3 linked regions of the Caenorhabditis elegans genome follow. The protein of the gene in region 2 purifies or fractionates together with the protein of the main gene of each other region. This does not show direct contact. Each region holds a gene or a part of one and is shown on either strand. Other genes may lie near its edges. The genes, in order: pygl-1, Y71G12B.13 and W04C9.6.

Region 1 (11,065 bases), on a different chromosome or scaffold from region 2:
CCTTTTCCGGATAATTCTCTCTCAATTCTGACCAATTCCAAGCGTAGAGACTGCTGACGAGTTCATGATTATCCAAAATCTCGTTTCCCCGGTCTGAAAGCGTTCGTGGGCGATTTGCTCGATTTGCTGCAAAAAACAAAATTAATCAGATTATTCGCAAATTTTCCAAAGCTTACATGGTGAATCAGGCGTTTTTCTATTAACTTCAATTTCAGGAGCTCGGGGTGCAGGACGATTTTGTGAGGAGGATGATGGAATAGTATCGAAATTAATCCATCTGTTCGTTTTGAACGAATCCCAACCCTCATTTACTGTCATTCTGTAACAAAAAACGTTGAAAAAAAATTAGAAATTCAATTCAAAAGAAGAAATTTCAAGAAAATATAGAAAAAATCAAGAAAATTCAAGGAAAACTTCAAAAAAAAAGAGCGAAAATCGGAAAAAAGCTGAATTAAATAATTAAATTCGAAAATTAAAGGCACACACCATTTTCGGGACCACGATATCTCGGCACGAAAACAAAACCGTACCCTCGAATCCTAAATCGGGCCGAAAATCATTTTAATTCGAGGTTTTTTTTTCTGATTTTTCGAGTTTTCCTCACAAAATGAGAGTGGTTTGTCGTTGTTTCGCCGTCTCTGTCACCCGTTTGTGCTGTTCTATCGCTTGCCCGTTTTCTCTGCCGTCTCTTCAGCGCATGCCGGTGTGTGTGTGTGTGTGTGCGCGTCGCTCCTCCCATTTTCGTTGTTTTAGGCCTAAAATTTGAATATCTTTCTAGGATCTCAAGATGCTAATTTTTTATCGGCATTTTTGAACTTGTGTCTATGCGTTTCTCTCTACTTGTTCTCGCTTGTCACAGTTTTCAAATTTTATGTATTTATGCTTTTTTTCAGGTAATCATGACGGACGTCGAAAAACAGACGGAAATTCGCGAGAAGAAGGGCCGCAATGTGATGCGCGAGCTCAAGATCCAAAAGCTCTGTCTCAACATTTGTGTTGGAGAGTCTGGAGATCGTCTCACCCGTGCCGCTAAGGTATTCCAATATATTCTACAGTAATTCGTAAATTTTCGAAATATTTTCAGGTGCTCGAGCAGCTCACCGGACAAACCCCAGTGTTCTCCAAGGCCCGATACACCGTCAGAACTTTCGGAATTCGCAGAAACGAAAAGATTGCTGTTCATTGCACCGTTCGTGGACCAAAGGCTGAGGAAATCCTCGAGAAGGGACTCAAGGTCAAGGAATACGAGCTTTTCAAAGAGAACTTCTCTGACACTGGAAACTTCGGTTTCGGAGTTCAGGTTAGCTTAAAGTTGAAGTGTTCAAAAGTGATGATTATTTTGTTTCCAGGAGCACATTGATCTCGGAATCAAGTACGACCCAGGAATTGGAATCTACGGAATGGACTTCTACGTCGTTCTGAACCGCAACGGAGTTCGAGTTTCCAAGCGCAGACGTGCACCAGGACGCATTGGACCATCCCACCGTGTCGATAAGGAGGAGACAATCAAATGGTTCCAGCAAAAGTACGATGGAATCATTCTGCCACCAAAGCCAAAGGTCAAGAAGAACTTCTTCCGTCGTCGTTAAGTTTTTCTATTTTCTGAATAAACTGTTGTTATTAAAAATGAAATTGCTAATGTTTTGTTAAAGTTGTGAATCATAGTCTGATTGTCGTGGATCTGAACTTCAACTTCCTGGAATCAATAATTTTACGTTGCGAATGGTCTTCTGATGTAGAAAGTTCAGGATATTTATCCAGGAATTTTGAAAACTCATCGAAAAGGAGTTTGGTATTTTGCTAACGAGCTGGTCGTAGAGGTATCGAAACTTCTTTGAAGATCCTTCAGACAGCCATAATTTTTAATTAAATTTCAGCATTTGCAGATTCGAGTCAAAATTAAAAAAAAAAAGTTGATATTTTCAGTCAATTTATCATAAATATGCAGGGCAGACGTGCAAATAGACAATCTCAAAGTATGGCAACACATTCGGGGGAAGTACGATTATTGGACTGGGGGCAGAGAGGACAAAATCAATTTGATCTTGAAGATTCACAAGAATTATCGGGGGAGGGAAAGGCTTCTATAAAAATGCTATAAACTAAATGGGACGGAGAGGAGGGGAAGTTATGGCGATAATTAATTACAATGTTAGTGCATAGAAGAATTATTCGCTCTTCTCATTCTCATATGGTGCTGGAAGAGAGCTCTCGAACTGGTCGATTCCCCAGATTTCACGAGCGTATTCGGTGATTGTGCGATCTGTTGAGAACTTTCCGGTCGAGGCGATGTTGTAGAGGGCCATGCGAGACCACTTCTCTTGGTCGCGGAATGTAGCGGAGACCTGAAAATAATTTATTTTGATCAGTAAAAATTTGAATTAGTTGAATTTTTTGAGTTTTACCTTATCCTGGGCTTCAATGAAAGCGTCGAAATCGGCGCACACCATGAAACGATCATGATAGCGGAGCATGTTGGAGAGATCCTTGAGCTGATCTGGATCTTCTGGAGTGAACATGCCACCTTCGATTTGCTCGATGATCTGCTTGAGCATTGGGCTCTTGTCGATGAACTCCTGCGAAGAGTATCCGCGCTTTGTGAGCGCCTCAACCTCCTCGACGTTCATTCCGAAGATGAAGATGTTCTCGTCGCCCATCTCCTCGGCCATCTCAACGTTGGCTCCGTCGAGAGTTCCGATTGTGAGAGCTCCGTTCAACATGAACTTCATGTTTCCGGTTCCTGAAGCCTCGGTTCCGGCGGTCGAGATCTGTTCAGAGAGATCAGAAGCTGGAATGATCTTTTCAGCCATCGAGACACGGTAGTTCTCGAGGAAGATGACCTTCAAACGATCACCAACGATGGCATCATTGTTGACTTGTTCGGCGACGGCGGTGATCAAACGAATGATCTGCTTAGCCATATGGTATCCTGGAGCAGCTTTTCCTCCGTACAACACGGTACGCTTAACCATATCGATGTTCGGGTTCTCCTTGATACGATTGTAGAGAGCAATGACGTGGAGAATATTGAGAAGCTGTCTCTTGTACTCGTGGATTCTCTTCACATGCACATCGAACAACGAAGCGGCGTTCACGTTGACATTGTACTCGTCGCTCAAATACTGGGCGACTTGTTGCTTGTTCTCGAGCTTCACACGACGAATCGAATCGAGGAACCCGGCATCGTTGGCGTACTCCTTGAGCTTCTGAAGCTCGTCGAGATTGGTGATCCACGACTCGCCGATCTTCTCGACGATGAGGTCGGCGAGAGATGGGTTGGAGAGAAGAAGCCAGCGGCGTGGTGTGATTCCGTTCGTCTTGTTTTGGAAGCGATCCGGGTAGAACTCATAGAAGTCACGGAAGCTGGAAATGGATGATATTAATTTTTTAAAATGGTAATTTTGCAATTTGCGCGTAAGAAAAATTGGGCGGGCCGGGATTGCAATTTGCGGCGCGCGATTTAGCAACACCGCCGCACGATGTTTTTTCTCTTTCTGTCCGAATTTTCAATGACAAATTATCAATTTTTCGTGATTTTATCGAGTTCACATATCGAAATCTTTCAAAACATCATGCGAAAAACAGCCAAAATAAATTCGTGCGGCGGAGCTGCAAAATGATGCGTCGCCCATTGGTTCTAGCGCCAGGTTTCAGAGCATTTTCGCTTACGTGGAGCTCTTGAGAAGATCCGAGTGAAGAGCCGCGACTCCATTAATGGCATGAGAAGCCACAATGCACAAATGAGCCATATTGATGCGCTTCTCGCCGAACTGATCGGCCTCCTCGACAATCGACATACGACGCATACGGTCGAAATCTCCTGGGAATCTCTGCGAGATGGTGTTCATGAACTTCTGATTGATCTCGTAGATGATCTCCAAATGACGCGGCAACAAATTCTGCATAAGCGACACTGGCCAGCGCTCGAGGGCCTCTGGGAGCAAGGTGTGATTGGTGTAGGCGTAGGTCTTGATGCAAATGTCCCAGGCCTGATCCCAGGTGAGTCCCTCGACGTCGATGAGGAGACGGATCAACTCGGGAATTCCGATCGATGGATGAGTGTCGTTGAGCTGGATGGCCACCTTATCCGGGAAGGTCTCGAAGTTGACACGGACGGCCTCGCGGTTTCCGTAGATGGAGGACTTGAAGCGGCGGATGATGTCCTGGAGGGTGGCGGCGACGAGGAAGTATTGCTGCTTGAGACGGAGCTCCTTTCCGAGGAACATCTGAAAATGTGGGGAAATTGATTTTTTTTTTCTGCCAAAATCTAGCTCAAACATACGTTGTCATTCGGGTAGAGGACACGAGTGATGTTCTCGGACAAGTTACGATCCATCACAGCCTGCACGTAGTCTCCGTCGTTGAAGAACTTGAGGTGGAAATGATTTTCGGCTTTGGCGGACCACAAACGAAGCGTGTTGACGATGTTGTTCTTGTATCCGGGGACTGGTGTGTCGTATGGCATGGCAAACACAACTTGAGTGTCGATCCATTTCGATTTTCCCTGAAATAATATATTTTTTAATGAAAAATAAAAAAAGTAAGCGAAAAAAAGAAAAAAGGAATGGGCCGAACCGGGGATTGAACCCGGGACCTCTCGCACCCAAAGCGAGAATCATACCACTAGACCATTCGGCCACGATTAGATACGTGAAAGCTGGTGATGAAGAGATATCGAATCTTATTATTTCTCGCAATCAGCCAATTATCGATTATTGTGCATCTTGATTGCTTCCAAACACGATTTCCAAACATGGCCGAATGGTCTAGTGGTATGATTCTCGCTTTGGGTGCGAGAGGTCCCGGGTTCAATCCCCAGTTCGGCCCATTCCTTTTTTATTTTTTTAAATTTAATTTTCTCCAAAAAATCAAAACTCACATCCTCCTTCACAACTTTTCCATAAAAGTTGACCGGAAGCATGTACTCTGGACGAGCCTTCTCCCATGGATTTCCGAAGCGAAGCCAATCGTCTGGCTCCTCAATCTGCCATCCGTCACGAATAAGTTGCTTGAAGATTCCGTACTCGTAGCGAAGCCCGTATCCGTAAGCCGGAATACCCAGCGTGGCCATCGAGTCGAGGAAACACGCGGCGAGACGTCCGAGTCCTCCGTTTCCGAGCCCGGCGTCCTCTTCGATCTCCTGAAGCTCCTCAATGTCTAGACCGAGCTGGTAGAGCGCCTCGTCGACGGTCGCCTGAATTCCGAGGTTCATCATTGTGTTCGACAGCGTTCGCCCCATGTAGAACTCCAACGACAGATAGTAGACCCGCTTCGGATCCTTGTCATAGTAGTGTTGTTGAGTTCGTATCCAGCGAGACACGAGATGATCGCGGACAGTGTTGGCGAGCGCGAAGTAGTAGTCGCGATCGGTGGCCACGTTACGATCCTTGATGATCGAGAAGTGAAGGTGGCGATTGAACGCCTTCTTGATGTTCGACACGTTCTCCACTTGAGCGATTCCGCGCACGGAGATCTGCTTGCGACGATCGTGATCGTTGGTGATCATGCTGAACAGCTTCGGACTCGACGATGAGGCAGTCGATTCGGCAACCACGGGCTGCTGAAAATTGGAAATTGGTTTTTTTGGGAGAAAAAATGAGCGGAAAGTGGTGAAAATTATAACTTGTTCGGCTACTGTGATAAGAATGGTGGACAAACAAAAATTTCGAACACTGCAGGCAATGGCGAGTCAGGCCAGAAAACAAAATGTGTTGCGAGATAGTAGTCGACGCAGTACAAAGTCAACAGGAGGGGGGCAGTTCAGTGATCAGTCAACAATCAATATTGATAGCAGGGGCCGGCCCCGTGATTTCCAAGATGAAAGATTTTTGAAAAAAGTATGAAAGCCACGTGGATTTGCTATATTTTTCAAAAAAATCGCAAATTTCCGCAAAAACCTTTAGTTTTGCGAACTTTTCCGTGTCGCAGTTCGCAGAAACTAGCTTTTATTTGATTAACATCATTTATTGGGCATTTATCCAACGTTTTTTCATTGATCTAGGTGCATTTAAGCCGATAAGGGACCAAAAATGCCTCAATCAACGAAATAAGTGATGAAAATATGCAATAAAAGATGATAATCAAATAAAAGTTAGTCTCTGAGCACTGCGACACGGAAAAGCTGGCAAAACTGGGGATCTTAGCTAAAATTAGTAATTTTCTGCGAAGTTTTGATCCTATACAAGCAAGCATTCCTCCTTGAACCAAAAAAAAAATCGAAGAAAAAATATTTTCGCTGATCATTGAGGAGTGAAATGCATCGCTTCAAACTGATCAGGCTAAAACGTCGAATAATATCAGTGTTGACCGTGTCGGCGGTCAGTCAACATGCAGAAAACTACCGATAAACTGATAACGCGTAAGTGATAATAAAACAACAATCAGTAGACGACGACAGGATATTTCGGTGTATTTTTATCACCCGGTCGGCCCAAGAAAATCGAAAAAAAAATTAATGAAAGTGAGGGGCACTTTCTTCTGGGCTACGGAAGACTTTGTTCTTTGCTCACAGCCTTTTTTGTTTAGCCTGAAGCTTGAACTTTAAAGCTTTTCTACTTATGATTTTGTCAAAGAAAAGCATTTAATTGTCGCAAAACCGAATCTTCAAAGATTGTGCTGTCAACTCGAATTAATTAATTAAAATCTTGCGGAAATCTGTTCGAATATGGAAAAGACTATCGGTAGACATGGCCGCTTTGTGTTTGATAAACAATTCTTGTCACTGCCGATTTATCAATTCTTTTTCAACTGAGACGAGTGTGTGCACGTGAATGATCGATGCCATTGGAAATTGAGAAAATTTGAAAAAAAGTTCCGAAAACTTTCGGGGAGCTGCCACGCTTATGTGGAATCGAAAAAAGAGCATAGAGGCCCGAGCCATCTAAAAAAAATGGATGGGGAGAGGATGCGAAGGGGTTTGTGAGCGTGTGTGTAAAATGTGAGGAGAGGAAAACAACTCTGGGAGAAGCAGAGATGTAGAGAAAAATACATGTTGTGTGTGACCCCGACGGACACTGATAGGGAAACAGAGAGAGAGAGAAGCAGGCGGAGATTCAAATTTTTTGTCGAGAAGATGACGAGATTGAAGATTGAAAAATTGAAAAACCAAGAAATCAAGAGATTTTTTATTTTTTTTTTGGCGAGGAAAAATCTGTTTCTAGAAGCTTTAATATTAATTTCCCGACTTTCTTATCATCACCGCCTCCTGTTATGATATCAATGAGAAGACGGGCGGTGCAGCAGAACAACAAAACGGGTATTTTTCCGTTTTTTGAACACTGTATATGTACAGTGAGGACCAATCACCGCACAAACAACGCGACGAGCTGGAGGGGGCAAGGTGAACGATTCTTGAGGCGTATAGGTTCGATAGATTCCAATTTTCACCGTCGCTTATGAAATGAAATGACCAGTGAAACGAGAGCTGGGAGCCGAAGTCCTATAGAAGAGGAAGAGGATGGGCTGAAGAAAAGTGGCGGGAAAAGTAGACTGACATGTGTGTGTGTGTGTGTGTGTGCCGGCGAGAAGCGAAAAGGAGAAGCCTGAAGTGAAGCGTACGTGTTTTTCGGCAAGATTCAGCCGGCCGTTTCCCCATTTTGCACGCACACACTCACTTAAATCCCTGCCTGCTCGCTGTTTTTTTTCTTATGATTTTCTGGCTTATGAAGAGATGAAGCAGATGAAGCAGATGATGAAGAAGAAGCTTGATAGCATGAAATAATCAGCGAATTACTTACCGGGCGCACGTTGTTCCAGTTGAAGAATCCAAAACGAGCAGCAATATCCGACATTTTCGGTGTCACCGGCGGCTACGAAGGTGAACAGTGAAGAATGACTGATAAAAATTTGGAGAAGACAATCAAAAAATTGACGAAAACAAGTGGTTTATTGCACCGAAAATGCAGAAATTGGCGCCATGATTGAAAATTGGAAAACAAAATTTTCGCGCCAACAACACCGAGGGTACGGTAGGCGAGTACGCAAACACCGATGCGCACCGTACTCGCCGTAGCGGATTTGAATTTAAATTTAATTAAAAATAAATAAATAATTTAGTTTTTCTTGCTTGAAAAACAGTTTTTCCTAAAAATTGCAGATTATTTTAAAGAAAATTCATTTAAGATCAAATTTAGAACAAATTATATTGAAAACTTGCTTCAAAGCATAGAAAATTGGCCGTAACAACATAATATAACTGTTGAAAAAAAACTTTTTATCTCAATTTTTTAATGATTTTTTAAAAAGAATTTTGCAAGTATATAAGAAAAGTGGATGAATTAATTTCGAATTCCTGCGCAAATAAATGAAACGTTTTGACTTTTTCCCATTTTCTGTCAAAATTAATTGTTTTTGTTTTGATTTTTCGATTTAAAACACTTAAAACACCGTTCATCTAATTTTCAGATATTTTTTGCGTGAAGGAAAATTGATACCACTAGAAAAAAAATACCACTAGAAAAAAAAATTTGGCGTAAAAATCGATGATTTTACTTTTTTTCCGGAAAAAAAGTCTGAAAATTTGAAAGAAAAAGGTGATTCAAGCCAGAAATCGCTAAATTATCGTCAGAAATTCAAAAATAATTACCTTTTTTCGAAAAAATTGAAAAAAAAAATTATTTCAAATTATTTCATGAAACAACCTCTAGTTCAATAATAAAATATTATTAAAATGTTTAATACAATTAAAAAAATTCAATTTTACTGCTAAAAATTTATTTTTTTAAATAAATTTATATTTTAGATATTTCTGGAACACTACATCCTGAGAATGCGTATTGCGCAGCACAATTGACGCGCAAAATATTTCGTAGCGAAAACTACAGTAATCCTTCGAATGACTACTGTAGCGCTTGTGTCGATTTACGGGCTCGATTTTCGAAATGATTTTATTTTCGAACAGTGACAGTGATGACACAATCAAACCCGTAAATCGACACAAGCATTACAGTAGTCATTTAAAGAGTTACTGTAGTTTTCGCTACGAGATATTTTGCGCGTCAAATGTGTTGCGCAATACGCATTCTCAGGATTTAGTGTGTCCGTAATAAAATCTGAAGAAAAACTGCTAAAAAATGTCTTTTTTAATTAACAACATGTTGTTTAGTATTTTCTGGTATACTTAGTTATGCTGAACAGTTTTATGAAATAAAAAAGAATGACTCCATACCATTTTACCGTACTTTTGAATTTTTGAATATAACAGCTTTTGGTTAAGTTTTGAAATTTTTTAAAATAAACTTCCGTACAAGCTAGAGTATGTTGTTTGGTATTTTCTGGTATATTTGATTATGCTGAACAGTTTTATGAAATAAAAAATAATCGCTTCGGTAATTTAGACGCACATTTCTTAATTGAATTCGCATGGTTTAGAGTGTGATGAGGTAATTTTTCTGTGGAAAAATTTCCCTTATTTTTTGTAGATCAAGTCGCTATGGAACATCTTGACACCATGTTTGGAAATCGACGAAAATAGTTGAAATTTTTTGAAACTACGGTTTTACCGCCGATACCTAACGAGACCCAACTTGTAGGAGCGGAGCTTTGACGTTAGAGCGCGATTGCATTTTCGTGTGCAGCGCGGCCTATCCTCAATTTTTTTGCCTTTTTTAGAAAAAAAAAAGCGAACATTTCGCTGTTTCTTTTCGTCGCTCACAGTACACAAACACGGATGCTAGGCCAACTTGAACAGAATCAGGCACCCCCAGCAGGCTCAATAGCCCAACTGTGAACCAAGCCAGAGCCGGAAAAAAATAAATAGGGGGTCACAAGCGCACCGAGCAGAATATCCACGAAACATGTCCTAGAGCGAAATTTAAAAAAAAACAGTTTTTTCAATTTTGTAGAACTCACCAAAAATGTAAATTAAACAATGGCCATCGATAAGATGCCATTTGCGGTGGGGTCTTGAGCAGAATACAGTAACCGCCTAATATGTGAAATGATACAAGTACGGCGGTAATTGCGTGGGAGGTATAGGCCAGTCCTTGCCAACAACACAAGAACGTTTCGGATTTTGAACATTTGGAAAATTGGAGAGATAGAGACAATATTCTTGCAAGGAACTCATTGCCAGTCGGGTTGAAAAATAAGGAAGGATAGAATCAAAACAAATGTTAACTGAATTTCTTAGAATTCGATTGTTTCCCAAAACAAATTCTTGTTGGCAGCAGCTGGCATTTGTAGACACAAAACAAAACCTATTCCTTCAATTATACACGGATTTCTAGGCTCCCTCATATTTTGAAATAGAAGAGTTTGCCGAACTAGGCCATTTCGGTTCGGCCATATAGCTCAGCCACACGGTGCGCTGCGTGTCGCGTCGCGGCTCGATTTTAGTTGTAAAACTTAATTTATTTGTCCGTGTGGAGTACATGCGACTTTTCCGCGCGTTGGCCATTGTCAATGGAGCGCAAAAAGTTCAGTGAGGAAGCACTGGGGCTCTGGCCTTCCTCATTGAACTTTTCGCGCTCCATTGACAACTGGACAACGCATAGGAAAGTCGTGCACTCCACACGGACAAATACTTTTCATTTTACAACTAAAATCGAGCCGCAACGCGACACGCAACGCACCGTAAATCTACCGCCAGATATGGCCGAGCCAATATGGCCTAGTTCGGCAAACTCTTCCATTTCAATTTATGCGGCCAGCAAGAAATCCGTGCCCACGTGGTGTCAGGTAGTCACTTTATGGTTTGATCTACAAAAAATGTGGAAATTTTTCGCCCAAAAAAATGCGACTTCATGCAATATCAGTTGAGAAGTCTGCGTCTAAATTCCCGCGATTCTCGTAGATCGACGTAGATCAAACGGGGGGCACTCTGTCGCCACGTGCGGGCCCTCTTCAGCAATTATAGCCCTCCGATTTGTTCCGGATGTCTTTAGCCTCCGCAAATCATCAAACCAAACACCAACGCCCTTCAGAACATCACTTTGAGAACAAAAAATGATCCGATCATCAAAATGCGACAAAAAAGGGTGCTAGTTTATGAAAAATCTTCACTTTCTGCAAAGTTCTCAAGTGTAATTAAGGTGTGTGACGTCACTTGGCTGGGGGTATATAAGGA
Region 2 (9,081 bases):
TTTTTTTTCAAAAAAAAACATTTTTAATTAAAAATTAAAACGTTAAAAAATCGAAGTTGGAACTTTTTTTTTCTGTCTTTCATGTCAGAATTTGAACGTTTTTCCACAAAAATGAGCAAGTCAAAATTCACAATTTTTGGGTGGAAAAATTCGGATTAAAAAAAATTAAAAAATAAATAAAACTGGATTTTTCGAGAAAAAAAAAGTTCCAATTTTGATTTTTTAACGTTTTAAAAAAGGACAAAATTTGGCAATTTCTCTGAATTTTTTTAATTAAAAATGTTTTTTTTTGAAAAAAAAATTTCTAAAAAAATTCGGTTTTTTTTTTCAAAATGTGGTAAAATTCAGATTTCTTATTTAAAAAAAAACGTGAAAAGTTCGAAAATTAAGAAAAAATCGAATTTCAGGCAATCAGGCGGTTTGCCGGAAGTTTTCAAGTCCGAAAATTTGCCGCTTTGCCGGAAAAAAAATGAGAAAAAAATACAGATTTTTCAAAAAAAAAAGTCCCAAATTCGGTTTTTTAATTTTTAAAAATCCAAAAATTGGAGATTTCTCTGAAATTTTCTTCAAAATTGATTCAGAAAAATCGACAATTTCATAGATATTTTCAAATTGAAATTTACAACTTCCAAAAGTGCTCAAAAAACCGGAAAAAAAAATTAATAAAAACAAAAGAAATTCATTGGGATTTGGTGAGGGAGGTTTTTTCAACAAAACAAAAAATTACAATTAAAAAAAAAAAAGAAAGAGGCAGACAAAAAATGATCATTAAAAAAAGGTACCAGCATTAAGGAACTTTTTGCAAAAAAAATGGGGAAAAATTGAGAAATCGAGGGGGAAAAAGTGGAATTTCAAGAGGAAAAGGATGGAAAAAAATATTCCTAATTCACAATTTTTCAAGAAAAATTGAAATTTTTTAAATCGAATATTTTGGCGGGAATTTCAAATTTTCTGAGAAGACCTAATTTGTCGGCGGGAAATTTAATTAATTAAAAACTGTTGAAACGTTCGGCAAACGATTTTTTCCGGCAAATTGGCACTTTGCCGGAATGGAAAATTTCCGGCAATTTGGCAAACCGGCACATTGCCGGAATTGAAAAATTCCGGCAAACCGGAACATTGCCGGAATTGAAAAATTCCCGCAAACAGAAAAATTGCCGATTTGCCGGAATGGAAAATTTCCGGCAAATCGGTAATTTGCCGGAATTGAAAATTTCCGGCAAATCGGTTTTTTTTTTAAATTTTTCAGGGAATTTATTTTTTTCAGGGGAAAATTTTGCTAAAAATCCGCTATTTTGCCAATTTCCATCTAAAAATTCCAATTTTCAAGTAAAAAAGCGGGGGAAAAAACGAGAAGAATTAAAAATCAAAATTATCATTAACAAATTCCGAGTTCTCCTGAACATTAAAACCCGTAAAAACATCATCATCATCATTCTCAGGCTCCGCTTCATCACCCGAATGCTCTTGGGGCTCAAAATCGAGGTGTTGCTCCATAATCGGAGCTTCTTCCAATCCGAGAAGCATCGCCTCCAGTGGATCAGCCGGATCCAGTGGTGCCGCCTGATGATTCTGAGCATCAATTCTCTCGTAGAGATCGTCAAATTCAAAGCCCCAATGAGCATCTGGCTCCTGGTGCTCCTGGTACTCCGGCTCTTCGTCATAATTTCCCACATGGAATTGCACAGGCTCCGGCTCCTGCTGGAATTGAGAAGCTGGAGCTGGAGCCGGAGATGGTGTACTCGTCAAGGATCTTGCCGTTTCCTCGTCACGTCGAAGCTTCTTGTTCAGAATTCTCGCAGAAACCGATTGATGAATCGTCTGCTTACGGGTTTCCGCTTTCAGTTTCTCCGAGATTTTACGATCCTCTTCGATTTTTCGACGCTTCGCCAGGCTTGCCAGGCTGAAGTTGCGCTGAAAAATGAGGAAATTAGCGTCTTTTTTTTATTTATTTTATTAATCAAAAAAATATTATTTACGCGCAGCAAAATTTGGACCGAAATGAAAATAAAAAAGAAAAATTCAAGTTGTTCTGTGTAAAAAATCGGAAAAAATCAAATTTTTGTGGAAAAAAAAATTGGAAAATTCGACTTTTTTTGACTAAAAGATCGGAAAAATTCAAATATTTTGTAGGAAAATTGGCAATTTTGTAAAAAAAATCGAAAACTGCGTAATTTTAGGAAAAATCGGCATTTTTTGTATTTTTCAGCGAATTTCGAGAAAAATGTCTGAAAACAGAAACCCATAAATTTCGGAAATTAAATTTAAAATTTGATTTTTTTGAAATTGCTTTAAAGCATGCTTATGATACCACAATAACCGAATATATCATAATAAAAAAATTCAAAAAAAATTTTTTTTTCTAAATTTTATATGATTTTTGAAAATTGAAAAAATCTCAGTTTTCCCCCTAATTCCTATTTGAATTTCCGCCAATTGAACTCGTTCGTTGGAGCGCGCTTGCATTGTTTTCATTAATTTTTTAAAATTTATTTTCATTATTTCACTGATTTTCTTCATTTTTTGGGTGTTTTTAATCGGAAAATGAAAGAAACATACAGGAAAAATGCAAAATGTTTATTAAAAAGTAACTGAAAATGCCTAAAACTGTGAATAATACTTATTTCAGGCTCGTCATCGTCGGATCGTATAATTTCAGAGTTTTAGGCATTTTCAGTTACTTTTTAATAAACATTTTGCATTTTTCCCGTATGTTTCTTTCATTTTCCGATTAAAAACGCCCAAAAAATGAAGAAAATCAGTGAAATAATGAAAATAAATTTTTAAAAAATTAATGAAAATAATGCAAGCACACTCCATCGAACAAATTCAATTAGCGGAAATTCGAATCGGAATTAGGGGGAAAACTGTGATTTTTTCAATTTTCAAATATCATAAAAAATTTAGAAAATTTTTTTGCATTTGTTTTACCATGCTATTCGGTCATTATGACCCCATAGGCGCGTTTTAAAGCAATTTTTTCGAGAAAAAAAATTATTTTTTCATGTAGATTCTGCGAATTTTTGAATTTTGGCTAATTTGTGTAAAGTTTTGCAAAATCGTCGCAGGAAAATCAAATTTTTGGGTTTTTATCGAATTTTTTTGTTTTTTTATGCCAAATTTTTTAAAATTTTGCAAAATCTTCGCAGGATAATCAAATTTCTAGGTTTTTCTTCGTTTTTTCGGCCAAATTTTTCAAAAATTTCCATGATTTTCGTCATTTTTCCTCTTCTTCAATCCGTACCATAACATTGCCAACTTTCTCTCCGACAGCTTTCTTAATTTGTTGCAAATCAATTCCAACACTTTTCAGCAACTCATCCGCATTTCCACTTCTCGCCACCATTTTCTCTTCTACAGTGAAATTAATCATTCGACGTCGGGCAGTTTTCCAATCTTCACGAGTTATTGATTGTAGACAATTTTCAATGTCTTCTATCCGATAGGGAAGTCTAAAATTATCGATTTTTTGCCATTTGTTGAGCATTTCCAACCGTAAAGCCGCTCTTGAACGCTTATAGGTCATCGGAGTACGCTGGAAGTAGTGAGCATCGAAAAACTCCTGCATACGACGGAATAATTCGGATTCCTGAAAAAAAAAATCGATTTTTGGGAGATGTTAATGAAAATTTTTGCGTTTTTTTCGCAGTATTGAGCAAAAATTCGAAGGATTTCACCCAGAAAACCCAGAAAATCGCGATTTTTTTTTCTTCCAATTTTTTGATTATCGAAATTTCCGTTTAAAAATTCGAGAAAATTCGAATTATCGATTAAAAATCCAGGAAAAGTGTAATTTTCACTAAAAATTCGGGAAAATTCAAATTTCCAGTAAAAAAATCGGGAAAATTCAAATTTTCGCTCAAAAATACGGGAAACTTTGAAGAAATTCAAATTTTCATTCCAAAATTCGGCAAAACTGAAATTTTCACTAAAAAATTCGGGAAATTTCAAATTTTTGCTAAAAAAACTCGGAAAAACTCAAATTTTCACTAAAAAATTCGGGAAAATTCAAATTTTCTTTAAAAAGTTCGGGAAAAGTCAAATTTTTGCTAAAAAATCGGGAAAACGCAGATTTCCGTTGAAAACTTCGAGAAAATTCGAATTTTCAACTAAAAATCCAGGAAAATTCAAATTTTCACTAAAAAATTCGGGAAAATTCAGTCTTTTGGTAAACATTTCGAGAAAATTCAAATTTCCGTTGAAAACTTCGAGAAAATTCAAATTTCCGCTTAAAAATTCGAAAAAAACTCAACTTTTCGCTTAAAAACTCGGGTAAATTCAAATTTTCGTTAAAAAGTTCGGGAAAATTCAGATTTCCGTTGAAAACTTCGAGAAAATTCAAATTATCGATGAAAAATCCAGGAAAATTCAAGTTTTCACTAAAAAATTCGGGAAAATTCAAATTATCGATTAAAAATTTCGGAAAATTTAAATTTTCGCTTAAAAATCGGAAAAATTCAATTTTTCGCTTAAAAATTCGGGAAAATTCAGATTTCCTTTTAAAAATTCGAGAAAAATCAAATTTAGATTTAAAAATTCGGGAAAATTCAAATTTTCGTTAAAAAGTTCGGGAAAATTCAAATTTCCGTTTAAAACTTTGGGAAAGTTTAAATTTCAACTAAAAAGTCGGGAAAATTCAAATTTTCGCTAAAAAATTCGGAAATAATCAAATTTCCGTTTAAAAATCCAGGAAAATTCAAATTTCCGCTTAAAAATTCGGGAAAACTCAAATTTTTTTCAGCTCAAAAGTTCCAAATTTTCACCTCCATATTTATAATAGTATTCGACGCTTTCGAGTCGGCCGCAACTTTTTCTATCAACGAAGCCCACGATTTTCCAGAATCATTAAGCCGTCGCTTAATAGTCCTACACGGCCTGACGGCCTCTTCTTCTTCAATTTCCACATCATCAATACTCTGATTTTCAAGCTCAGCTTCTGCCGAGCAAGACGTTGAAGGGGTATTTGTATTATTAACAGTTTCGGAATGAAGACTTTCAGCTTTTAGCCTATTCTGACCACTGGATTTCTCAGAAATCGTAGTCGTCGTCGTCGTCGTCCCGTCCAACGAGTTTCTGGCGGCTCGATTTTCAGAATTTTCAGAATTTCCAGCCACTGATGAGCAACGGGAGACCGGTCGAGAGTTGGCGAACGTCAGGGGATACAGATATTGATATTTCTCGGGAAGCTTCTCAATGCGTGGCAGGGGAATGCATTTTTGACGCTTTTGGAAGGCAGTTTGGACGACATGATAGACGTGTGGAGGCATATCCATTGGGAATTGACATTTCTGCAAATAAAAAATAAATAAAAAATGATTAAAATCGGCAGTTTTAGTTTTTAAAAAAGTCGTAATTATGCACGCTCTCCTCAAAGCCGAATAATTATTAGAGCGCGCTTGCTGCGCTTCGCATTTCTGAATCCGCGGTATTTTGACTTTCCACTGAAAAAGCAGATATTTCAGATTTATCGAATTTTCTAGCTTTAAAAAAAATTTTTCTCCAGTTTTCGAACAAACCTTTTGTTAAACAGTGAAAATCGAATTTAAAATGACTAAAATGAACTTTTTTCGTCCACTGGCTGTGAAATGGTTTGAATTTGAAAAAATTAACGGGATTTTTCTTATTTTCTAAATATTTTTCTATTAAAATCGGTTTTAAAACATTTGTGACTTTTAGGGTCAAAAAAATGGGTTAAAACCGATTTTTAATAGAAAAATATTTAGAAAATAAGAAAAATCCCATTGATTTCTTCAAATTCAAACCATTTCACAACCAGTGGACGAAAAATTTCATTTTAGTCATTTTTCGATTTTCACTGTTTAACAAAAGGTTTGTTCGAAAGATGCATTTAAAAAATTTTAAAAGCTAAAAATTCGATAAATCTGAAATATCTGCTTTTTTCAGTGGAAAGTCAAATTACCGCGGATGCAGAAATGCGAAGCGCAGCAAGCGCGCTCTAATAATTCTCCGGCTTTGAGGAGAGCGTGATTATGAAATATTACTGAAAATTAATGTTTTTTAAAATCAATTTCCGGTGAACTTCCGATGATTTCGACGATTTTTCCGCCTCAAAATTACTCGATTTTCACAAAATTAACTAAAAATTGTCCGTTTTGTTGAATTTCAAGTTCAAAATTTGAAAATTCTGAGGAGACATTGCTTTAAAACATACCTATGGTACCACAATGACCAAATATCATAGTAAAATTTTTTTTAATGTTCTAAATTAAAAAAAAAATTTACTATGATATTTGGTCATTGTGGTACCATAGGCATGTTTTAAAGCAATTTCCCCACAGAATTTTCAAGTTTTGAACTTGAAATTCAATAAAACCGGAATTTTTTAGTTAATTTTGTGAAAATCCAGTGATTGAGGGGAGAAATCGTCGAAAACATCGGAAATTCACCGAAAATTGATATAAAAAACAATAATTTTCAGTTAAATTGCTATGAAAAGCTGATTTTCTCCGTTCATACGAGCCAAAACAACCTGAAATTCGATTTTTAGCTCGATTTTTGCCTGGTTTCCCAATATAAATTCAGTTTTTCATGAATTTCTACCTGAACAGCCTCACATATCCACCAAATATTATCGGATCCATTGGGTTCGGTGCTGATGAGCTCTGGCTTGAGCTGTTTCGTCTTACATCGCGGACACTTGAGCCATTCGCTTTTCATCTGAAATTAAATGAGTTTTTTGATGGAAAATTCGAAATTTTAAGGCTAGAAACGAGCACAAAATGAGCACACAAACGCTCAAACTTTGAAACTAACTGTTTTTTTTTCAATTTTCGGAAAATCGATGGGGGGACAGAAGACTGATGGATTTCGTGCGACGTCTCTCTCTCTCTTGCTCTTCTTTATCTTCTTTTGGTCTTTTCACTATGAAATTAGGTATAGTTTTTGAATGGTATCATTTGAAATGTGCGATCACATATCGGGCGGCAGAAAACCGCCTAATTCTCCTTTTCCAGTGCGGGTGGAAAGATCATCGCAAGGCGGTTTAGCCTTAGTGTGATCGCATATCATTACAAATTATCACTTACCACTCGGAGAGCAAAAGTTAATCAGTTTTTAAATCAAAAAAAAAATCAACTTACTAAGGCGGGAAGTGGTCCGGGTGGCATTATCCTTTTGAAAATTGTCTGAAAATTGCGATTGTTGCAGTGAAAGTGGCACAAAAATACGTAGAATTCGAAATTTGAGTTGAAAAATCGAAAAAATCACCGGAAAAGCTCGAAAAATCGATGAAAACGCGATAAATTGACTTAAAAATGTCTTCTTTTTTTCGAAAATGCTTCCCCGTAAATCGAATCGTGGTGAGACCCACCGCACGTGACGCATGACCGCGACGCGTCTAACGGTGAGGAAACCCAAGAAATTTCTCGATTTTTGCTGAAAAAGCCTGTTTTCGAGCGAAATAACTCAGATTTTCGGCGAAAAAAAAAACACAAATTTATTCGAGATCCAAACGTATCAAACAAGAAATTTGCTCAAAATAGCTCAAAAAAGGGAAAAATATTTGGAAAATAAATCGAAATCAAAAAAAAGTTATTTCGTCGATGTGGAGATGTAGAGCACATTGTTCCCGCGGATGAACGCATCGCCGTACTTGTTCTGAAGTTGTCCGTTGCTGTATTCTTCGGTTTGTTCGAGCGCGATGTTCATATATCTGAAAAATTAGATTTTTTCGTAATTTTTCTGGAAGAAAAATTAATTTTCAGGTGTTTTTAATCAGATTTTTTGATTTTTCCCAATCACTAACCCGTCGAGACATGCGAGAATGCCACGGTAGTCGACGCCAGAGTTGAGCTTCACCACAACCGGCTTTCCGATGACTTTCTTCAGGAATTCGGCGGGATTCTGTCGTTTGCTCATTTTCTAGAGTGCTGAAATTGAGAAAAAATATTACTTTCACGGGTTTTTAGAGTAAAAATATGTTAAAATCAAGAGAAAAATGCGTTAAAATTGCGATTTTGCTTCAAAAAAAATTATTTTCTACAGTGTCCGCAAACACCGTGACGCAAAAATGCAGACTTGCGAAAAAAATGTTTTTTTCGGATTAAATCGACTTATTTTTTGAGAATTCAACTCTAAATCTGCAATTTTCCGAGACAATTTAGAAAAAAGAAGGCTTCATTTATAGAAAACAAAAATAGTTGAAAGTGCACTGTGATCAGCCTGTGTGTGTGTGTAATTGGACAAAAAAAACTGTTTCCAGACGAAAAAATATTGAGTATAACACAAATATGAATTGATAGCTGCTTGGGAAGGGCAAAAGTGTACATATAAATGCATTGAGAAAAGGACTAGTTGAGTCGGATTTTGAAGATTTTTTGTTTGAAAGAAGCGCCAAGATTTCGTGGTATATTTGATATGAATTTGAATTTTTCTAGGTTGGAAAATTGAGAAAATTGAGAAAAAAAATGGGGAAAAAATTATAGAAAATTAAAAAAAATTGACTAATTTTCTCCTTGTCCCGAATCCTCGTCATCATCATTATAGTCCGAGCCGCATTCGTCCTCGTCCTCCTCCTCTTCATCGTCGTCATAGTCACACCCGAAATCGTCGTCTGAAAAAAATCGATATTTAATTGAAAATTTGGCAAAAATCCGGGTTTTTAACTGAAAAATCCAATTTTCTCGGGAATTTTACAACTAAATTTGCGAAAAATAGACTTTTTTTTGAGGTTTTTGAGGTCACGGGGTTCTGACCTTCCTCATTGAATTTTTCGCGCTCCATTGACAATCGCCCGCCGGAAAACGTGTGGGAAAGTCGTGTACTCCACACGGACAAATACATTTAGTTTTACAACTAAAATCGAGCCGCGGCGCGACACGCAACGCGCCGTAAATCTACCCCAGATATGGTGGCCTGGACTAGTTCGGCAAAAACTCTTCCATTTCAATTTATAAGGGAAGCCAGAAATCCGTGAATTCGTGCGATTTCTGGCAATTTACCTGAAAAATCGGCAATTTTTTTTGAAAAAAGTGTATAATTTTGCGGATATTTCGACTAAAAACTGACAATTTTTGAATTTTACCAAAAATAGCCAGTTTTAGTGCAAAAAACGCAAAATAT
Region 3 (9,624 bases), 1.2 Mb from region 2:
ATCATTGGAGCGCAATTGCATTTTTCTCGAAAAATCGATGTTTTCGTGTGATGCAGAATTATCGATTTTTTTTAACTTGGTGGCCGAGAAAATGGAAAACTCAGTCATCGACTTTTATTTACCTGGAACGAAAAAATTTAAAGTATGATCACGCGCTAAAGCCTCAATTATGCAAAATGCTTTAAAAACGGGTTTTGGAATTTTCTAGACCACTGGTGACGTCACTCCTTTTCCATTTATTATTCTAACTGTTTTCTAGGCCACTGATGTCGATATTTTTCCACTGCTGGGTTTCTAGATCGCCTGCGACGTCATTTCTCTTCCATACCCTGCTCTAGCGGGTTTCTAGGCCACTGGAGAAATTATTTTTCTTCCAAAAAAAAATCTAGGCCATTAATGACGTCATCATTTTTTCTTTTCTTTAGGATTACCTCAGGTTCCTCATATTTCAGATCCATCCTCGCCAATCGTTCATTCTCATGAACTTTTTCCACTTTTTCACTGCTCGTACTCTTCTCATCTACTGTATCCGCCACCACAACGTCCGGAGCAACAACTTGCTCATCAATATGCTGATATTCGGGCTCCTGGCGGTCCCAACGTGGTGTCTCTGGTGCAGTTTCATATTGATTTTGCTGCTTCTCCAGGAGGTTCTGTATTGAACTGATCGCTGAGGAGGATCCAACGATCGGAGGCATCGGAGGCGGCAGAGGAGCCATAGATGGAGTCTGAGAAGCCATCATTTGGAGTTGGGGGTAATTCCTTTGTTGGGACATCTGTGGGGACATTTGTGGGGACATTTGAGGGGACGGGGACATTTGGAATACCATCGGAGGCATTGGAGGTGGTGGGGGTGCCGGAGCCATTCGTATCATTGGAGCCATCACGTAAGATGGTGGAGATGGTGGGAGACTGGAATTTTTTTTTTGAATTTTTTTTCATAACACGGGCTTCTGGCCTTCCTCATTGCACTTTTCGCGCTCCGATGATAATCGCCTGCCGGACGACGCGTGGAAAAGTGGTGTACTCCCCACGGACAAATACATTTAGTTTTCAACTGAAAACCGAGCCGCGACGCGACACGCTACGCTCCGTAAATGGCCTAATTTCTTTTTTTTAATCTTGAGTTAAAGTTTAATTTTAATTATTTCTACAGAATTGAATGGCTGGGAATGTGCCACGTGGCCGAGAATTCTCCTGCGTGGCCTAGAAAATTCAAAAAAATATTTTTTGGTGGTTTTGATTACAAAATAAAGGATTTATACGGATAAAAACCTATTTTAAAAGCCGTGAAAAAAATCATATCAACCACTGCCTAAAAGATTGAAATTTTTATGATGGCCGAGAATTCTCAAGTGTGGCCTAGGAAAAATCAAGGCTTTTGAAAATTTGCTCATTTCGAAAATTAAAAAAAACAACTCAATTGATAGTAAATTTTAAAATTAAAAATTATTTTTCTGGTTTTTTTTTCTCAATTTTTGCAAAATCAAAATTATAATCAATTTTTAATCCAGAATTCGTCAAGTGGCCTAGAATTCTACTGCGTGGCCTAGAAAATTCCACCAAAATTTAAATTTTCCAAATTGTAAAAATGCTCCAAAAAGTTGAATGGTGGCCGAGGTTTTTCGTTTTTCACTTTTCACAGCTACGGAAAAAAACTCGGCCACCAATAGTTTTTCCTAGGCCATGTTTCAAATGCCCTATTTCTATGTTAATTACAGTATTTTCTAGACAAGATTTTAAAAAAACTCACGAATAGCACATGGAGCTCTGACACTTGCTCCCACCAATACAAAATTCCGAATTTTTTACAAAAAACTGCAAAACTATAAGAATTTGTGGTAGAAATTGGGGCATTTACGTAATAATAATAATAGAAAAATGTCCGCAAATTTTTTTTCATAAATTTCATAGGGAGGAGGTAAGCTTCAGCTAGAAGCCATTCAATTTTATTGGGGCGCCGAAAATCTTCGGAACACTTTTACAATTTATACAGTAGTGTACAACTTTTACAACTTAATAATATCTTCAATACTTCCAGAATATTCTTCTTTTTCCTCCTCAATTGCCACGTCATCATCTTGTAATCTGGTCCATTTTGCTGGCGAGGCGTCGGCAAACAGGCAGAATATAGTATTTACGAAGAGAAGTAAGCCCGCATGCGCCAGGAAACAATTACGCCAGTCTGTGAATCTGAAAAAAATAATCTTGTCTTTTAGGGGACCTACGCCTGCCTGCCTACGTCTGCCTTGCAGGGGACCTTTGCCTACCTACTTGACTACCTTCAAGTGAGACCTATGCTGGTTTGCCTGCATTTTTGTCAGTGCCTTCTAGGCCTATGCCTACCTTACAAACTATGTAGGTCAACTGCCTGCTTTCAAGGTGGCCTAGGTCAGCCTACATGCTATCTACGTCTACCCCAATGTACCCTGTGCCTATCTACCTGCTTTTAATGCTATCTGCCTTTTCGATAGTCTTTTAGGGAATCTACGCCGGTCCAGCTCACATAGGTTATCTATGCCTATGCCTTCCTGCCTGCCTCCAAAGTGACCTACGCTTACCGTGTTTTTTTTTCTAGACCGTATATACCTACATGCCTGCCTTTAAGTTTACCTATGCCTGCCTGCATTCCTCATGCCTGCGTGCCTACATGAATACCCTAAAAACTCACGTATCATCAGTAACAATCATATTGACGAAAAACGGTTCGATGAATATCGTGCAAGCCCAGATGTTCATGATCTGGAAGAGAAATCGTTGGCCTAAAAATTTTCTCGGCCACCCCCTTACCTGCTGCATTGCGAAATAGGCGTACTGCTGGGAGTGCAACGTGGCACACTTGTTGAATCCCGCCGTATTGCACCCCATCACACTTTCGGCGCAAATCTGGAATGATGGAAGAGAATAGGAAAACTAGGCCATGGATGTATGTGCGCTATGTTGATAATCGGTTATTTTCAACGTGGATTATCAATTGAGCGCACTTGTCCCACTGGAAGAGTTTTCCTATCTAGGCCACCACCACCACCCACTCACCATTATAATAATAGCCAGCAAGTGTTTTTCCTGTGGAATAAATGCTAGAACGATGAAAAAAACGGCGGCCACGGCCAGAGCGATTGTGTTGAAAATTTTAGTTTTCAGAGTTTCTGAGATGAATCTGGAATATTGATTTTTGGTGGCCGTAGAGAGGAAAAACTCGGCCACTGATTTTTTTCACAATTATAAAATTATTTTTCCAGGAAAAACCCCCGAAAAACTCACTTAATATAATCACTAATAATTCCCGACGATAATTTCGTAAAAAATTGAAAAATAATGGGTAAGGCGGCCAAAAAACCGGACGAAAGTACGTCATAGTTCAAATAATTTTTCATATATTGCGGATTGAATTGGGATACCAATTGAACTGTTATCAAATCTCCAAACGATGCGATCCAACAAGCCCACAGGCTTAAACTTGTCAGAATATGACGGAATGGAAGATTTTTTGGCCGGGATACCTGCAAAACGAAAAAGTAACGGGCTTCGAATTTCCCCCCCCATGTTTTCAAATGGAAGAGGTGGCCGTGAATAAAGCTAACCTCGACCGGGGGTCGCGACTCGCGACAAACGGGAAAACTCAAAGAAATTTCGTACTGTCGCTACTTTTTTTGAGTTTTCCTGTTTGTCGCAGGTCGCGACCCCCGGTCGAGGTTCGCTTTTTTCACGGCCACCTCTTCCATTTGAAAACATGGGGGAAATTCGAAGCCCGTGAAAAGTTAGGCCATGCAATGCGATGTGGTGGCCGAGGTTTTGAAAACTCGGTTACTCTCATGTAAAAAATCTTGAAGTTGAAGCAAATTTGCGTACATGAAACCCATTTACCTTGCTAGCAGTTTTAGAAAAATTTGGGATTTTCTCATACTAATGAGGGAACGTCTTAATTGTCGACAAATTGCGTACCCCGAGGAACCCACTAATTCAGTCCTAGGTTTAGGCATAGGCTAAGGCATAGGCTTAGGCGTAGGCCTAGGCTTAGGCTTAGGCTTACACGTGGTGTCAGAGTGCCTCATTTCGGCTTGATCTACGTAGATCTACAAAAAATGCGGGGGAAGAGCCGCAGAGTTTTCTACTGATTTCGCATGGTTAAGAGTGTGCTGACGTCACATTTTTTGGGGCAAAAATTCCCGCATTTTTGGTAGATCAAACCGTAATAGCACAGCCAGGCACCACGTGCGCTTAGGCTTGGGCTTTCCGTAGTCCTTCGGGCGCGTTTTTCTCAAAAATGATACGTGGTACAATTTCAGGTTTTTTTCCGCTCCAAAATCTAGTTATAATTTGTGTCCGGTAGAGCGCGTTTGCACTCACTTTCTTTCCCGATTTCCCTTCTCGAATCCTCTCCAATTCCTTCTCGCCAACCCAACTGTGCTCACTCGGCGAGCACTTGAAAAATAGGAAAAACAGCGAAAAAGTGACCAACGATACACCGGCGTGCACATAGTAAACCGACGTCCATCCACCAGACGAAGAGCATAACCATCCCGAAACTGGCATTGTAAATATATTTGAAAGTTGTGTATTTCCGGTTAATAGGCCAATGAATACTCCGTGCTCGTATGGGGTCGCCCAATTTGCTGTAATTGAGCCAGCGAGGGGAAATGTGGCTGAAAATGCCATTCCTTGACAAATACGGGCGGCCACAAACCATCCGTAGCCAATGGTACTTGCCAACGGGATAAGGGCTGTTGAAACTGGAAAAATTGAGTGCAATACATCATATTTGACGCGCAATTTTAAAATTTAAAAAATGGAAACGCGCTCTAATGATGCTTGGTGTACTCCTCTCGGACAATAAATGTCAATAATTTTTGAAAAATCGATAATTTTTTTTTAATTTCAGAAAAATTCGTGAAATCTGTTTTATTTTGCGCGTAAAATATGATTCTTAAATACTTAATTCAGTATTTTACGCACGTGGTATCAGAGTGTCTCATTTAGGCTTGATCTACGTAGATCTACAAAAAATGCGGGAGAAGAGACGCAGAGTTCTCAACTGATTTCGTATGGTTAAGAACGTGCTGACGTCACATATTTTCGGGCAAATAATTCCCGCATTTTTTGTAGATCAAACCGTGATGGGACAGCCTGACACCACGTGCTTACGCGGAATTTTTCACAATTTTTTGTGCTTCATGCACCATGTTTTTGTTTCGAAAAATCAGATTATTGTTTTGCGCGTCAAATTCAACGCCCACTGTGCAATACACCATATTTGACGATCAATTTCAAAAATTTTGTATGCTTTCGATGCATGCTTTTTGGGGTACTGTAGCTTTGAAAATACGCATGCACTGGATCTGACGACAAAATGCACAGTTTTTATAAAATTAGTCTATAGAAATTAGTCAGTTTTCTCGAAACAAATAAAAACTACAGAAAACTCGGCCACCGATATTTTTTTTTTTCGCGGCCACGATTGACGTCATACCTCCCGAAATAATTCCGGCGACAATGAAGACAGGTTTATGCGGCAAATGTTGAAAAGAAATGGAAAATGGAATCGAGGCGGCAAGACTTCCAATAGCCACACACGATTGAAGAAAATTCGACTCTGATTTGGTATAGTTCACTGAAAAAATCAACTATTTTGGCGGCCGCCAATGGAAAAACTCGGCCACCGAATTAAAAAAAAAACCTTTTGAAGTTGAAGTACTATTATCATCTTGCATACAAATTTTTGTAAAATTATAAGTATTCATATTTGAAAGAATCGAGGTCAAACACAGTGTGGCACATATTAAAATCTGCAAAAAAATCGTGAAAATTCAATTTTCCGGGGGTTTTGAGTTCAAAAAGTACCAGAAATCGGACAGGAACCGGCGAGTTGACCATGGTGCATCAGAAACCGGAATTTTAAATAAGTAAAAAAATTTATGATGCTCGTGGTGATAACGAAAAGTGCAGTGATCAATTTAAGGGAAATACTGCTGGGGGATTAAACGTTGACACTGTCAACTTGATAGTGTTAATTTGATCAATGCTTTGTACTTGTTTTTTGCAGGAAAAATTCTTTGAAAATTGCAAGACTATAGTATAGTCTGAAAATTTGATGAAATCTAAAACTTTAATAAATACCGTTAATTATCATTATTTTTATGAAATTTTAATATAATCTACTTAAAATTTAATTTTCTAGGCATCTGTGAGCTTAAATTTTCGATTATCCCTCGCCAAATTAAAGATTTGCAGACTTTTAAGCTTATAAGCTTATTTCAGTGAGAGAGAGCATTGTGAGAAGAGAAACGCAGACGAGGCTGGCGCGTTTCTCGTGCTCTGACGCGAGTCTCGATTTGCTTGCGCATTTCTCGTGCGCGCGACGTTCATTTTATTTTTCCGATTTTTTTTCAGTTTTTCTGAACTTTTCTTCTTGAATTTGTGATTTTTTATTTATTTTTCACGTCTTGTTGCAAAATAACTGATTTTTCACACAAAATATTCGAATTTTCAGGTCGGCAACATGGGATTCTTGTGGAAAACTGCAAAACTCGGAATTAAAGTTGGACTCGTCGCCGGCGCCGTCAAACTGTCAATCGATAACGATATTTGGTCGACTAACAATGTTAAAGTATTAGTTTTCCCCCGTTTTTCCACGAAAATTTTCATTTTCAGGGCAGCGAACTGTATCAAAAGCTTAAAAAGTACATTCTTCCCGGCACCGTCGTCTTTCCAGAGCAGGTTTTATCGATTTTTTCTCTGAAAATGCAATTTTTTTCTTATTTTCAGCTCCCAACAGTCGAAGATGTGCAGCTGAAGGCCGGTGGAAAGTGGAACAGTGCTGTTGACTCGGTAGGCTGCATTTTTGAGAGGAAACACGGAAAAATTGCTGCGAAAGTTGGAAAAAAGTCCTGGAAAATGGAGATTTGGCGCCGAACGTTCAAGAAATTCCATAATTTCAAAAATCTATCTGAAAAATTGAAAAATATAAATTTTCAGTCATTTTTAGTCAAATTTCAGAGCTAAACGTCGAAAAAAGTGCCTAAAACTAGGAAAAATATGACAAAAAGACACAAATTTTGGAGAAAATTGCTGAAAATAATGCAAAACACTTTTTTTCACAAAAAGCGAAATTCAAAAAAAATTCCACGTCAAAAATTAACCAAATGCAAGTACGCTCCATCGCACTTTTTTCCAATTTCTGACTCGAAAAGTCTTAAACTTCTGGTTTTGTAGGAAAGATAATGCAAAACGCAATTTTTAGTCCAAAATTCAGAGAAAATTCTGAAATTGTTTTTAAAAAAAATGCAAGCACACTCCATGGCACTTTTTTTTCAAAATTTCGCGTAGAAAATTACAGACATTAGCAAAATTCCGACGATTTCGCTGCGAGACCAGAAATATTGTAGGAAATTCAAACATTATCCGAAAATAATGCAAACGCGCTCTATCGCACTTTTCTCCAAGTTCCCACTCAAAAAGCATAGAAAATACCTGAAATTGCCGTTTTTTTTCACCGGAATTTCAAATTTACGCGATTTCGCTGCGAGACCCAAGCTAGTGCAGTGGAGCGCATTTCCAACAATTTCAAACTCAATTTTTTTCAGGTATTCACCACAATCGAGAACGTCCCATCAAGCGTGAACACAGTGGCCAATCGACTCATCAATAATAAATAAATTCCCCATAAAAATTATCGATTTATCGATTTTCCCCCCGAATCCTCGTGTATTCCTTCGTTAGAATGTACTTTTTCCCTCCTCATTTTCTAGAAGTATTTGTGTGTGTGCTCTATGAAAAAATTTGCAATTTTTGACTTTAAACGGACGGTGCATTATATTATTTTATCAGTTCCCATCGTTGATCAATTTTCTCCACTGATTATCAATTCACTGATAAGCTCACACTGCCTGCCCAACTCAATTCATCGCAACTTCTTCTCCCTGCTTTTTTTTGCCATGAATTCGACGGTGGCTTCCCGTTTCTCATGGGGACTCATTCTGGCGTCGATCGATTTTTTGGCGTGCCTACTGTTCGCCTGCCTGCATGATGGAACTTTCAAATTCGCGAATTTTACTTCGCAATTTGGCGATTTTTCGTTTTTTACGAGGTTCGATTGATTGGTGGCCGAGTTAATTTTAGGCCACGAAAAATGAAAATTGAAGCCGAGTGTCATTTTCGCTGGAATTCTAATTTTCAGTGTGTAAAAATATAGAAAACTGCAAAAAATTTTGAATTCCCGCCAAAAACTAACGTTACGAGACCCAAGTACAGTGGAGCGCAGTTGCAAAAAAAAATTTTTAATGATTTTTTGCAACTACGCTCCACAGTCCTTGGGTCTCACAACGTTGAAACTAAAATTTTGGAATTTCTCCCATAACTTCTTATAATAACGATATTCGGTGGTCTCGACACGACATATTTTCATTAAATAAAACGGGTGTGCGCCTTTAAAGAGTACTGCAGTTTCAAACTTTAGTTGCTAAGCGTATTTTCAACAAAGCAACGAAAATTTGAACTTACAGTACTCTTTAAAGGCGCACGCCCGTTTTTATTAAAACAAAAACTTGTCGTGTCGAGACCGGGCACCGTAGTTTTGACGCTAAAAATAAGATTTATGAAAAAGCGGGTTTCCAGAAAATTTCACTTTTCAAACTTTGATGAAAATTTGAAGTTTCCAGCCAAAATCGCTGCGAGACAGTGGAACGAGTGCAGTAGAGCGAAATTGCTGTAAAATTTTGAAAAAAAAGTGAGAAATTTAAAAACACGGATTTCTGGCCTCCCCCGTAAATTGAAATGGAAGAGTTTGCCGAACTAGGCCACTTTGGCTCGCCCATATCTGGGGTAGATTTACGGCGCGTTGCGTGTCGCGACGCGATTTTAGTTGGAAAACTAAATGTTTTTGCCCGTGTGGAGTACACGACTTTCCCACGTGTTGTCCTCTAGGTGATTGTCAATGGAGCGCAAAAAATCCAATGAGGAAGGCCAGAACCCCGTGAAAAAGTACGCGTTTTTGAAGCAATTCATCGAAAGAAGACAGTAAAAAAAAAGTCAAAAATTCAAATTTCCAATAGAAAAACCACCAAACCCAACAATTTTTCCAGCACAATCGACCTATTCTTGCTGCAATTTTTCCGTTTTGCACTATGGATGGTGCCGGCGGCAATCCACGTGGCCAACAAGGCGGACACGTTGACAATGTGGAAAGAGGTCGGTGGCCGCGTGGCCTAGAAATCCCGAAAATTTCAAATTTTCAGCCAATTTTCTGCTCGGCACTGCTCATCTGCGCGGCGAGCCCCACAAAATTGCTCCTCCTCACAGAAAAGCTGAAGCCCGATGAGTTCCTCACTTTCGGCGACACTGCCTTCCTTGTCTGGAATTTCATTTCCGCGATCATTTTGAACTCCTCGTGGACAAGATACTTCTCGCGAACTCCGTCTTCATATATAATTCTGGAGGATGAGGATGTAAGTGCGCTCCGCTGAGAAAATGTTTTGATCACCCCCACGATTTTCAGCTCGAGGTGGCTCCAAAACAAACGTTTGAGCTTATTTTCCGCCTGCTCCAATACTGCAAACGTGAATGGCTCTGGCATATTTCCGGATTCTCGTGGCTCTTTATTTATTCGATCAGTAAGAGAATATCCAT

The links.
Region 1: the proteins of Y71G12B.13 (region 2) and pygl-1 fractionate together in Caenorhabditis elegans (co-fractionation; one large-scale study listed by BioGRID). This does not show direct contact.
Region 3: the proteins of Y71G12B.13 (region 2) and W04C9.6 fractionate together in Caenorhabditis elegans (co-fractionation; one large-scale study listed by BioGRID). This does not show direct contact.

The regions. Positions count from the first base shown.
Region 1 is NC_003283.11:3,575,893-3,586,957, reverse strand, and holds pygl-1 (Alpha-1,4 glucan phosphorylase), read right to left. Parts: upstream 7,817-11,065; 5' UTR 7,791-7,816; coding exon 7,737-7,790; intron 5,572-7,736; exon of another isoform or gene 5,561-5,571; coding exon 4,880-5,560; intron 4,828-4,879; exon of another isoform or gene 4,756-4,827; intron 4,639-4,755; exon of another isoform or gene 4,567-4,638; intron 4,505-4,566; coding exon 4,283-4,504; intron 4,227-4,282; coding exon 3,670-4,226; intron 3,364-3,669; coding exon 2,406-3,363; intron 2,346-2,405; coding exon 2,169-2,345; 3' UTR 1,916-2,168; downstream 1-1,915. Other genes in the region: T22F3.2 (Ubiquitin carboxyl-terminal hydrolase 36), read right to left, coding at 1-126, 177-318; rpl-11.1 (Large ribosomal subunit protein uL5A), read left to right, coding at 900-1,034, 1,085-1,300, 1,350-1,589.
Region 2 is NC_003279.8:1,700,169-1,709,249, reverse strand, and holds Y71G12B.13 (RING-type domain-containing protein), read right to left. Parts: upstream 7,146-9,081; 5' UTR 7,128-7,145; coding exon 7,101-7,127; intron 6,679-7,100; coding exon 6,562-6,678; intron 5,289-6,561; coding exon 4,764-5,288; intron 3,590-4,763; coding exon 3,495-3,589; intron 3,453-3,494; coding exon 3,245-3,452; intron 1,915-3,244; coding exon 1,360-1,914; 3' UTR 697-1,359; downstream 1-696. Other genes in the region: lsm-6 (U6 snRNA-associated Sm-like protein LSm6), read right to left, coding at 7,552-7,672, 7,766-7,878; ubc-3 (UBC core domain-containing protein), read right to left, coding at 8,463-8,572.
Region 3 is NC_003279.8:482,117-491,740, forward strand, and holds W04C9.6 (MFS domain-containing protein), read right to left. Parts: upstream 6,277-9,624; 5' UTR 5,875-6,276; coding exon 5,842-5,874; intron 5,787-5,841; coding exon 5,678-5,786; intron 5,612-5,677; coding exon 5,471-5,611; intron 4,734-5,470; coding exon 4,351-4,733; intron 3,504-4,350; coding exon 3,265-3,503; intron 3,161-3,264; coding exon 3,037-3,160; intron 2,887-3,036; coding exon 2,791-2,886; intron 2,743-2,790; coding exon 2,672-2,742; intron 2,194-2,671; coding exon 2,010-2,193; 3' UTR 1,923-2,009; downstream 1-1,922. Other genes in the region: W04C9.9 (Zinc finger protein), read right to left, coding at 432-912, 1,754-1,764; W04C9.2 (MICOS complex subunit MIC13), read left to right, coding at 6,500-6,607, 6,652-6,717, 6,766-6,828, 7,584-7,655; haf-4 (ABC-type antigen peptide transporter), read left to right, coding at 7,935-8,086, 9,081-9,186, 9,234-9,443, 9,494-9,608.